Sus scrofa: one gene and its partners. The protein of the gene in region 2 interacts with the protein of the main gene of each other region in a pairwise test. Links are inferred from orthologs where the notes say so. Each region holds a gene or a part of one and is shown on either strand. Other genes may lie near its edges.

What was found.
Region 1: the proteins of WAC (region 2) and DYDC1 interact in binary tests that used the Homo sapiens proteins (3 or more experiments, as listed by UniProt). The two-hybrid records come from large-scale screens. The link is inferred for Sus scrofa from reciprocal best matches to the Homo sapiens genes WAC and DYDC1.
Region 3: the proteins of WAC (region 2) and HTT interact in binary tests that used the Homo sapiens proteins (3 or more experiments, as listed by UniProt). The link is inferred for Sus scrofa from reciprocal best matches to the Homo sapiens genes WAC and HTT.

The regions. Positions count from the first base shown.
Region 1 is NC_010456.5:82,194,293-82,198,639, reverse strand, and holds the start of DYDC1 (DPY30 domain-containing protein 1), read left to right. Parts: upstream 1-1,479; 5' UTR 1,480-1,634; intron 1,635-3,774; exon of another isoform or gene 3,775-4,308; intron 4,309-4,347. UniProt on the Homo sapiens protein: Functions as part of axonemal radial spoke complexes that play an important part in the motility of sperm and cilia. Plays a crucial role during acrosome biogenesis.
Region 2 is NC_010452.4:40,005,993-40,009,637, forward strand, and holds part of WAC (WW domain-containing adapter protein with coiled-coil), read left to right. Parts: intron 1-2,575; coding exon 2,576-2,821; intron 2,822-3,645.
Region 3 is NC_010450.4:1,808,384-1,812,635, forward strand, and holds the start of HTT (huntingtin), read left to right. Parts: upstream 1-1,384; 5' UTR 1,385-1,528; coding exon 1,529-1,764; intron 1,765-4,252.

The sequences.
Region 1 (4,347 bases), on a different chromosome or scaffold from region 2:
CAGCCCACTCCCCACCAACTCTGGCCATGCTCACCAGTGAGACGGGGGCTATTTTTCTGAGTTTTCCAGAGCTCCTCTGAGGTCTGCTTGTACTGATCCTCCTTGCTCATGGCCTTGCATTCAGGTGGGGCGATATGTATAGAGATTGTCTTTGTTCACACTGTATTCCTAGTGTTGGGCTCACAGTAAGTGCTCAGCAAATATTTCTTGACTTAATCAGTCAGGACTTCGATGCTTGTGGGCCCAGGCAAGAGCTCACGCTTCCTCCCATCTGTTAGTGCCATGCTAACATCTATGACTCAACCAACATTTACTGAGGCACCTCCTGCCCAGTACTGCCCCACATAAATTAGAACATGAGAAATGCTAGCCTGTGCGCAAAGGACTAAACCAAGGAAGACTGCAAATGGTTGGGCTTGGTGGAGGATGGAAGGCTTTCTGGAGGTGGGGAGCACATCACAGTGAGAGGAATGCCAACTAAAGAACATTGCTAGCCAGCTGATTCTACAAGGATTGCTTAGCCACTACAGTTGTTAACTGAGTCATTAACACAACCTAAAAGGAGTTCAGGATGGATATCAGGACTGAAGCAATCTGTTCTCTGGAGAAAATGATAGAACAGGCCTTCAGATAGTTAGAAATTTTCAGGAAAAAATTTTATAAGCCCAGTTTCTTGCATCTTCCCATACTTAGGAAAGCACTGAAATCATTAAGTCATCTGTGCCTGGTGACTAGAATAACCTTTCACCTAGATATGTGTTTGACTGCAGGTACCCCTTCTCCAAAATCACACATATGCTGACCACCCCTCTACTTCTTCCATGCAGGAGCAGTTCCTTAGAGCTGTCACAGCGGCCATCTCCAGGGCTAAAGTCCTCAGTTTAGTCCCCAAATAAAACAACTCACAACTCTCAGATGTGCAATTTTTTTTCAGTGGACAGGAACCAAACAGAGGTCACCAGCAAGTGCAAAGGTGCTAAGCGGGGAAAATACCAGGCTATAGGTAGCTATAACTTCCTCTGCTCTAAAGCCGTTAGCCCCGAGGCTCCTCTCCCGCAGGCCAGCCCTCTCCCTTTTCTCTCTCCCTGTGTGCGCAAGCCTGCCAGCTCCGCCCGATTCCCCCTTTTGGCTGTCCTCTTCTCACAGCCTCTGGGTTGTACGTCTCTGCTCACCTACCCTGGTGCTCCCTTCCCTCCATCGGTAATCTCGCACACCTAGCGCGCCCCCTCCTCTCAATAGCGCATCCTACCCCGCCCCTCTCTGCTCCTCTCCTATGGCCTCTCCTCTCCTCTCTGCGGCCTCCTCCCCGCCCTACTGCCGCTCACCGCCCGACACGCTTCCTCTCTGCTGCAAATTCTCCGCTCCTCGCCCAGCGCTCTCTGCGGCGCGCCCCTTCCTCTCAGCACGAGGCAGTCTCCTGCTCCTGGGGCTCGCGCTCGTTGCCTAGCGACAGGACGCTACTAGAGGGTAGGTAGGCGCCTGCGTCCCGCGCCGGCTTAGAGGACGCAGGCGCAGTTGTGGAAGTACTGCTTCAGGTGCTGGGCTGAATCCTGCGAACCAAGGCAGTTTTTGCAGTTGGACCTTGTGAGCGCTGCGGTGGCAGTAGACGCCCATGCTCCCCGAGCTTCGGGAAGGTTAGTTCAGCGCCGGCCTCCTCCTCCTCCTCGGTGGTGAGCGGCGCTATGCCTTTTGGAGGGATACGGAAGGCGGGCACCCTGCCGGGGACCTGGGATAGAAAAGCAACCGAAGCGCTCGGAATCCAGGGTTGCCAGATAAAATTCGGGGTACGCATTTAAATTTGATTTCAGAGAAATAAGGAATAGCTTTTTAGCACAATATAGGATAATGCAAAATCATTCCTTATTTATCTGAAATTTAACTGGACATCCTGTATTTTTGTTTGCAAAAAAAGCAACCCTACCACTGGCCACCTTTCTCCCAAGCAGGAGCGAAGAACCTCTTTCTGTTTCTTGTGACAGCTTATGCAGGCTTGAGGCAGCTCTTTCTGTGGGAAGATGCTTTCTTCTCTTGAGCCAGGATGGCTGTTGGTGTGTATAAAAAATAGCATTACTTATAACAGGCTTTTCAGATGGGTATGTCGCTAATTCAGGAACAAGAAATAAGCCAAACGAGGTAACGAGTTCCACCTGGGTTCCGCTGATAATGCGATGCAGGCTGCCTAGATGTGAGACTAACCCTTTACTGGAGGTTTCTCCTTAGGAACCACGGGCCCATTCCCATGTGTTATCTTTCAGGAGCAGCGGCAGGAATCGGCTCCCTTTTTAATTGTTATTCCATTCCAAATGATATTAAGCTGTCAATGTAGTTATTTTTGTCTTTGAAGAAGTGCAGTGAAGATACTGTGTTCCATACTCAGCTGTAATAAGACATCAATACTAGCTTGATAGGGAATTAGGTTCGTTTGTGCCAGTTTTTAATTTGTTTTTATGACTGTATATATGTATTAGCGTTCCTTTCTCCACTGTTGTTGCTAATATAAAGGCGGCATATAAACTGCAATTTATGCATCTTGCTTTTTTTCACTTCACACTTTGTCCTAGGGATCACTCCTAATTTGGGGGATCTTCCTCTTTCTCTTTTTTTTCTGCGCAAAAATCCATTGTGTTGCTGTATCTCATCAGTCCTTTATTGAGGAACATTTGGATGGAGGTCGAAACTTGGCTATTCTTAGTAATGGTGCAGACTAACCGGTGGATATATTCATATTTTTGTAAGATAAGATCCCAGAAGTGAGACTGATGAGTCAAAATGTAAAGTCATATGTAATTTTCTACACATTTCCAAATTCTACTCCATGGGATTATGCCATTTTGTACTCTGCCACCACATTATGAGACAGAGCACTATTGGAGTATATGGATGAAACTCAGAAGGTCATTGTTTCTGAGGTTTTGTGCAGAATGTTAGGTACATTTATTCCAGAACAGGTCAAGACACACTGGCATTCTGTCTTCTATAATTGCTCATGCCTGACATGTAATAAGTTCTCTTTCTCCCTCTCTCTCTCTCTCTAGGGCTGCTCCCATGGCATATGGAGGTTCCCAGGCTAGGGGTTGAATTGTAGCTTTTGCTGCTGGCCTATGCCGCAGCAATGCGGGATCCGAGTCGAGTCTGCAACCTACACCAAGCTCATGGCAACACCGGATCCTTAGCCCACTGAGTAAGGCCAGGGATTGAACCCACAACTTCATGGTTCCTAGTTGGATTCATTAACCACTGTGCCACGATGAGAACTCCTATATATATTCTTTTTTGTTATAGTTGATTTACAATGTTCTGTCAGTTTCTGCTGTATCAATATATATTTTTTGAATAATGAATACATTTCATCAGATTCTCAGAGGAGTCTGGATTCATTAATGGTAATTTGCAAGGTGATCAGTTTCTTCAAAGCACCTGAGATAGAGTGGTTACTGCATTTCTGTCTTCCTTCCCCCTCTTTCTTCTTCTTCTTTTTTTTGTCTTTTTGCCATTTCTTGGGCTGCTCCCACGGCGTGTGGAGGTTCCCAACCTAGGGATCTAATCAGAGCTGTAGCTGCCGGCTTATGCCAGAGCCATAGCAACTCGGGATCCGAGGTGCATCTGCAACCTACATCACAGCTCACGTCAACGCTGAATCCTTAACCCACTGAGCAAGGCCAGGGAGCGAACCCGCAACCTCATGGTTCCTAGTCGGATTCATTAACCACTGAGCCATGACCGCAACTCCTCTTCTTTTCTTTCTTTCTCCTTCTTTCTCTCCCCTCTTTCTTTCCTTCTCTCCTCTCTTTTTCTTTCTCTCTCTCCTTCCTTCCTTTCTTTCTTTCCTTCTTTCTTTCATCTCTCTGATCTAAGATCGTTCCTGTCCATATTCATAACTGAATAGACTGGGACATTACTGGGAGAGTGGAGAAACTCATTCACTTGCTGCCGTGGAGAGCCAGCCCTGTTGGTGCTGTGATTAAAACACACTCCTAGAGGAGCTAGAGGAGCTTATCCTTTAGTGGGGGGACAGACATGTCCATGCACAGATAATGCTCAGGCAGTATGATAAGGGTCATGTGAGCTGTTGGGGGAAGGACGGCTGTCTTTGTGTTGCCTGGAGATGGTGGTAGCAGCCACAGCAAGGGGGAATGACAGATGATTGATGCCTTGCAGGTGAGGAGATAGTCTCCAAACTGAGAGTGAGGGGTCATCACGGGCACATATGATGGAGATGGAATTGCACAAGGTGTGAGCAGCAGAATGACAGGATGTTCTGTATGGTTAGAGCCCAGAGTATGTTGGAAGCAGAAAAGATTTCTGGAGGTGAGCTTGGAAAGAAAAGTGGAGCCAGAGCATGAAGAG
Region 2 (3,645 bases):
CTCCCCTTTTTTTGAACCTATAATTTAAGGGAGAGAGCACACATATAAACACACACCTGGACCTTTCTGACAGATTCAGTCAGTGGATACATGCTGATGGCATTTTGTAACGGGGCCACAGAGATAAATAAAACAGAATTCCTCCCCTGAAGGAGTTCCTTTCTGATAGAAGGGAGGAGATGATAAACTATGTAATAGAAGACGCTGTGTTATAGAATCTGTGTTGGGTTGTTCTGAATGCAAAAGAGCAGCACCCATCCAGTAGTTTTCAAATTTTGTGTTTTAATGATAAAACTAAGACTACCTTTCAGGGTAGTATTTTATATTTGTATTATCAAACTCAATCACTTATTCTCAGTTATACTTACAGGTTGAAGCAAGTTGTATTAAAGATATTAAGATAGGAGTTCCTGTTGTGGTGCAGTTAATCCAACTAGGAACCATGAGGTTACGGGTTCGATCCTTGGCCTTGCTCAGTGGGTTAAGGATCTGGCATTGCTGTGGTGTGGGTCCCAGACACGGCTCGGATCCTGCGTTGCTGTGGCTCTGGCATAGGCCAGTGGCTACAGCTCCAATTAGACCCCTAGCCTGGGAACCTCCATATGCCATGGGAGCAGCTCAAGAAAAGGCAAAAAGACCAAAAAAAAAAAAAAAGAAAAAAAAAAAGGATATTAAGAAGTAATATGCTTTGGGAGAGCAAACGCAAATGTCTGGGTGTCTTTTAGGGAGAATGGGCTGGAGTCATTCTTTTAAAAATAGTGTAAAAAATGGAGTTCCTGTGATGGCTCAGTGGTTAACGAATCCGACTAGGAACCATGAGGATGCAGGTTCCATCCTGGCCTTGCTCAGTGGGTTAAGGATCTGGTGCTGCAGTGAGCTGTGGTGTAGGTTGCAGATGCGGCTGGAATCTGGTGTTGTTGTGGCTGTGGCGTAGGCTTGCAGCTGCAGCTCTGATTAGACTCCTAGCCTGGGAACCTCAACATGCCGTGGGGTGCGGCCCTCAAAGGAACTTAGGAAATTCTCTAATGTGTTTTCTCATAACCAGCATGGGGTGTCAGAGTCACCCATAGAACTCTTAGAAGTTCACCAGATGCTTGGACCACCCCCGAACCACCCCTGGTTCATTAGATCTGGGGTGGAGTTCTGGTATCTATTTTTTTTTCCAATTTTATAGTTAATTCTGATAAGTTCATACTCAAAGTCAAATCTTTTAAAAGAGAACCTCTTGCCTTTTGAGATTTTACTTGCTCAAGGCTCCCATAAGTATCGACTGGTTTTCATACTGTCCATTAATAATCTTCCTTTATAAAACTGCAAAGAAATCTATCCTCAGGAGAAATAAACATTTATTTACATAGTGGTTTATTTCTTTATGATATGTATTAGTTTTCTGTTTTGGGAGTCTTTTCCTTTTCTTGGATTGAAGGGTAATACTGAAAAAATTTCAAGCCTGGGTTAATTTTTCAAATCTGTAGATAGATTTAGCAGCACCAAAACGAACTTAAAAGACAACTTGCACCTTCTCCAACTCCTGTCTTTAAAGGGAGAAGGAAACCACAATACAAGTTAACAAAAGGGTTATTTCAGAGGGATATAAATACTAATTTAACTGTTCATGCAGGAAGTAAAAATAGAGAACCTGTTTCATTCTAAACATTAAGATGTATCTCAACCATTTATTTCGTAACCTAAACCTTAAGGTATATGATCTGGAAAAAACTGCTACTGTAGTCTCATAAAATGTAGTATCTGACAGCAGATTTTCACAAGGAAAGTTCAATTTTCTTTATACTTTATGAATTCAAAACAGCTGAACATGATAGGCAGTCAGCTAGACTTTTGTGGTCATAAACATTTTCACCTTAAGTTAGTTTATGGTACATAGAAATTGAATGTTAGTGAATTGTTCTTTCCTTTTATCCTGATGGAAGCTTATTCAAAAGTTAATACAGGCATATCTTGGAGGTATTATGGGTTCAGTTCCAGACTTCCACTATAAAGCAAGTATCACAAAATGAGTCAATTTTTTGGTTTCCCAGTGCATACGAAAGTTATGTTTACATTGTTGTCTGTTAAGTGTGCAACACCATTGTGTCTAAAAAGTGATGAGTATGCCTTAATTAGAGAAAATGCTGTTGGGAAAATGAGGCGGATAGACTCGCCCAATACAGGGTTGCAGAAGACCTTCAGTTTGTTGGGGTGAATAAAAAGCAGTAACTGCAAAGTGTAATAAAGGCAAAATACAGTAAAACAAGGTGTGCCTGTACAAGTTTTGAGACAGAATTGCTAGTGGAATATGGCACTTAGACATGCATGTGGTCGAATCACTGCTTTACCAGACTTTGCGATTTCAGGCAAGTTACATAATATTCTTTGTTGTTTTCTCATGTATGACATCAGGATATAAGATATTGCCTTAGGATTCTGGTCAGTCACCTGCTAAGTCTCCTCTGTGTGCTACCCTCTTGATATTAAATGACATGACTTGAGTCAGGCACCTGGCTTCTTGGACATTGGTTCCAGTTTTCTCTAGTCAAGTAATGTTTTTCAGCCTCAATATCTTCTTTTTATTTAGAATCTACATCGGGAGACAAATCTGTGTCACACGTTTGCACAACTCCTTCCACGTCTTCAGCATCTGGACTGAACCCCACATCTGCACCTCCAACGTCCGCTTCAGCCATCCCCGTTTCTCCTGTCCCACAGTCACCAATACCTCCGCTACTTCAGGACCCAAATCTTCTTAGACAGTTACTTCCTGCTTTGCAGGCCACACTGCAACTTAATAATTCTAATGTGGACATATCCAAAATAAATGAAGGTAATTTTCTTCTCTTTTTTGGGGGTGGGGGGTGGTGGATCTTTTTAGGGCCCAACCTGCAGCATATGAAAGTTCCCAAGCTAGGGGTTGAATCGGAGCTACAGCTGCCAGCCTATGCCACAGCAACCTACACTACAGTTCACAGCAACGCCGGATCCTTAACCCACTGAGTGAGGCCAGGGATTAAACCTGAAACCTCATGGTTCCTAGTCAGATTCATTTCTGCTGTGCCGCAGCAGGAACCCCCAGGTAAAGGTAATTTTCGTTGAAACAGTTTTTTAAAAATTCATTTGTATCATGCAAAACTCTGTAATTAGTAAAACTCCCAACTGAGGAATGGTCTTTGTTTCATTTTGAAGTTGACGGTTGAATGTCATGCTCTGAAATTTACATCCCCCACAGCCTAAGATCTTTGGTATTGTATCAGCAATACTTGGATTTTCTATTTTTCAAGACTTGTGTACCTGTCAGTTACTGGAGATAACTATTTTATCAGCTTACCGTGTGTGATGATTTTTTAGTTTTTTAAAGTATAAACAGAGAAAATAGTATTTGCTAAAATAGATATAAAAACACTTGGTTTCTGGCGTATTTCAAAACAACCTCCTGTATATCAGTAAATAATTATTTGGCATATTAAAAATATGCTGTTTACTAAGGGTAGTAATTCAGGTAGTTCTTAAAATACTTAAAATTTTTTGAGAAGGGAAGTAATGGATAGTGTTATGCTATCTTTCCTAGTTAATTTCATTGTTAATTCCAATTTGCTTTTAAGTGTACTACTGAAGCATTTAGGCAGCTACCTCACAGAAGTCTGAATAAAA
Region 3 (4,252 bases), on a different chromosome or scaffold from region 2:
ACGATGCCACCCAGACCTTCTGCATAGAGGTCACCAAAGATACAAAGCCCAGGTAAACAGGTACCAGGAGAGCAGTGAGTCATTACGATCCCTGGAGAGCTGGGAGAGAATGCCAGTGTGACAGTCGAGCGGGCGTGCCCATCTTCAGCCCCGGGGTAAGGCAGACACACCCTCCACGTGAGGGGGCGATGGAGGAGGCCAAATGACAGAGAACTTTATGTTTCCATTTTTGGGCCCCACCCTAAAATATAAATTTTACTTAATCGCAAGCGAACCACCAGTGACAGCCCACACTCAAGGGAGGGGGCTCTTTCTTCAAGGCAGTGAGCAGCAGGAGGGGGTCACTGGGCCATCTGAGAAGTCTGCCAATCACAGTACCTGACAGCCTGGAGTTCAGCCACTGTGGCCTGTGCTGCATGAAGGCTGGCATGCAGCCTCGCCAGTGAACAAGGGCCTTTATTAACACCAGGGAACAGGGACCTCAAGGCTGGCAGCACGTTTCTCTGAGATCCTTCCCTTGAAGGGAGGCCCCCATTGCTGTCCCCTTGGGGACAACGCTTCCTGTGGGGATGCTGGGTTTCTGTTCACCTGACTGCTTTGGGACAACAGGCTCTGAAATCAGGTGAAGACTTCTGGAGGCTTCCTACTGCTTGCCCCAGAGGGCTTTCCTGAGGCCGTGTGCTCCGTGCTGCCCCTGGCTTGCCCACTGTCTCCCCTCCAGGTGATGAGGCTCTGGAGCCCTAGACCGGACCTTTGCACACCGGTCGGCCTCCGCCCTGGGAGTGGACAGCCGTGGGCTGGGCAGTCTCCTGTGGGGGCATCTCCGGGGTCAAAGCGGCTTCTCGCTGCACCAGCCACAGCCTCTCTGGGGAGCAGGGCCTTGACCAGGCAGGTTTTTTTTACCCCGAAGCCTTCAGCTCCCCCTTGGGCTACTGACTCTCCTTCCAGGGCCCAGCTCCTCTCCGAGGGGTCACACCTGGCCTCCCGCCCGGAGGGTCTTCTAGCTCCACTTCCCCCTTCCTCCTCTGCAGGGCTGTCCCAAGGACCTTCCCTCCTCCACGGCCGCTGGATGGGCAAGCGGCCCCGCGGGGGTCCCCGCTCCACACCCAGGGCTGACCCTCCCGGCCATCCCCCAGAATCCTTCCCGCGGGCGGGGCTCCCTCCCGGGGGCGGGGCTCCTTCCCGGACGTGCCGTGACGCTCACGCCCTCCCCGTCGCGCCCCGCCCCCTCTCCCAGGGGCTCTAGGAAGCCAGGCGGTGGGCACGGGGGGCGGGCCGGAGCCTCGTCCGGTCATTGGCGGAGGCCGCCGTCTTTGGTTGTCAATCCCGCCGGTCCGGCCCCGCCCCGCCGGCGGAGCGTCGGGGGACGCAGGGCCGCGGGGGCTGCCGGGACGGACCCAAGATGGCCGGGCGCCTCGGTTCCGCTCCCGCCTGCGGCCCCGAGTCCCATTCATTGCCGCGCTGCTGAGCGGAGCCCCGAGGCGGCCCGAGGGCTTCGGGGGCTGTCCCCGCGGGGCGAGAGGCCGCCATGGCGACCCTGGAAAAGCTGATGAAAGCTTTCGAGTCTCTCAAGTCCTTCCAGCAGCAGCAGCAGCAGCAGCAGCAGCAGCAGCAGCAGCAGCAGCAACAGCAGCCGCCGCCACCGCCGCCTCAGCCTCCTCAGCCGCCACCGCAGACGCAGCCGCCGCCTCAGCCGCCGCCGCCCCCGCCCCCGCCGCCGCCGCCGCCCGGCCCGGCAGTGGCCGAGGAGCCGCTGCACCGACCGTGAGTGCGGGCCCCCTGCAGACCCCGGCCCGCGGCGACGGGGCGACCCCGAGCCCCTCCCCGGCCCTGCGTGGGTCTCGGCCCCCCGCAGGGCGCGGAGCCTCGCCGGCCCCCCCCGGAGGCACCGGGGCGTCCCGGCCGCGAGGTTAGGGACGGAGCCGGGGCCGTGTTGGGAGCAGCGCTTGGCGGAGCGAGGCCGGCTCCGGTCCCTGCCCCGCCGGCCGCGAGGAGCGGGACCCGAGCCGGAGCGCCGCGGGGGAGCGGTGACGTCATGCCTCGGGGCGGGGGCGGCGGCGCGCGCGGCCCAATGGCGAGTCCTTTCCGAGGCCCTGGAGCAGCCTGTTCCCGCTGCCGCCGGGCATCCCCCCGAGTGCGGGGTCGCGGGCGGAGCCGCAGCGCGTTCGGCGTCGGCCAGAGCCGAGCTTGTCTGCGCTCCCGTTGGTCTGCAGGCTCTTGAGCGGGTTGTGGTGGCCAAGTTCGTGGTGCGCTGTTTAGGTGGTGATGAGTCACGAGGGAGAAACTAAAATTTGCCTGGAGTATTGGGTCGAGTTGACTGTGTGCAGTGCCTGTGTGCAGTGGGAACGAGAAGGACGTGTTGCTGAGGGAGAGGTTCACTGCCGGGGGCGAATGCGGTGCGGGAACGTGGCTGTCCGGGGACCCCGCAGGCGTCGCCTGTCGCTGACATCCGGTGCTGTTGGGAAGTAGGGGTCTCTTGCTTGTGCCAGGGAGAATTTTTGAGACAGAAAAAGAACATTTCAGGAGCTCCCGTCGTGGCGCAGTGGTTAACGAACCCGACTAGGAACCATGAGGTTGCGGGTTCGGTGCCTGCCCTTGCTCAGTGGGTTAACGATCCAGCGTTGCCGTGAGCTGTGGTGTAGGTTGCAGACGCGGTTCGGATCCCGCGTTGCTGTGGCTCTGGTGTAGGCCGGTGGCTACAGCTCCGATTGAACCCCTAGCCTGGGAACCTCCATATGCTGCGGGAGCGGCCAGAGAAATAGCAAAAAAAACCCCAAAACGAACATTTCATTTCATAGAGCACCTTCTGAGAGCACCCAAGCCCTTCCCCTGGAGTCCCGTGTGCCCAGTGGTTCAGCCGAGGCCGGGGCGTGCTCCGCGGCAGGCCAGCCTTTCACCTCGGGCCACTTCGTGTCTGAGCCGAAGGTGGACGGAAGGCATTTCATGAGGACGGCTTTCAAGAAGCAGCCCCTTTAAGGCGCTCACTCTGTTAAGGCTGATGCACTCTTAGCAATGTTTTCTTCTTTTCTTCTTTATGTTTCTGATAGGATCCTTGCTGTGTCAGAGATTTCGTTAGAAAATGAGAGTCGAGGAGTGATTTTGGCTTATCTGTTAGAATAAAATTTAGAAATAATTTTTTTCTTCTAGAAAAGGTCTTTTGAATACTCAGAGGGGAAAAAAATATTTTTTAACAGTTTGCTTTACCTCTGCAGCAAGTAATTTATAACCATAACCCATCGCAGACTTTCATGGTAGTGCATCTCCTGCAGGTGGATGTCATGAAGTTAACACGTGGTTGGGACCTTGTATAAACAGGGGAAGCACTAGTGGGGCTCTGTGTAGGGAGGAGGTTCTACTGCTGTCCCTGTCTGCTCGTGCAATCACTTGGTCAGCCTAAAAATATGCCTTCTGCTTCTTATGCTGATTTGACAGAACCTGAATTTGCTTATCTTCTTCAAAATACGGGTGTAAAGAGGTTTCCTTTTTTAAATTTTTAAAATAAAAAATTGTTTTAAAATTTATAATTATTATTATTTGTCTTTTTGTCTTTTCTAGGGCCGCTCCTGCAGCATATGGAGGTTCTCAGGCTAGGGGTCTAATCAGAGCTGTTGCCGCCGACCTACAACCACAGCCACAGCAACACCAGATCCTTAACCCACTGAATGAGGCCAGGGATCGAACCCGAAACCTCATGGTTCCTCATTGAATTCATTAACCACTGAGCCACGACAGGAATGCCTAAATTTTAAAAATTTTTTATTTATTTTGCTTTTTGGGGCTGCACCTGCAGCACATGGAAGTTCCCACGCTAGGGGTCCAATCAGAGCTACAGCTGGGAGCCTAAACCACAGCAATGCAGGATCCGAGCCACCTCTGGGAACTATACCACAGCTCATGGCAACTCTAGATCCTTAACCCACTGAGCAAGGCCCGCAACCTTATGGTTCCTAGTCGGATTCATTTCCGATGCGCCACCACAGCAACTTTCTGCTGCTGCGCCACGATGGGAACTTCCTTCTTAAGCTAGCTTGATGAAGTAGATTTTGTTTCACTGTTTTATTGTAAGGAAATGTATGATTGACTTATTTTAAACGGAACCTGATTTTTTTTTGCATGAATAACACAGTCACTTGATACAAATTCCAAAATTGCAAAAAGTAAGTAAAGTAGCTCCCATTCTTTTCTCCCAGGTACCTAACTCCATTCCCAGAGGCAAGCGCTGTTACCCTTTCCCCTGGTGTATCCCACCAAT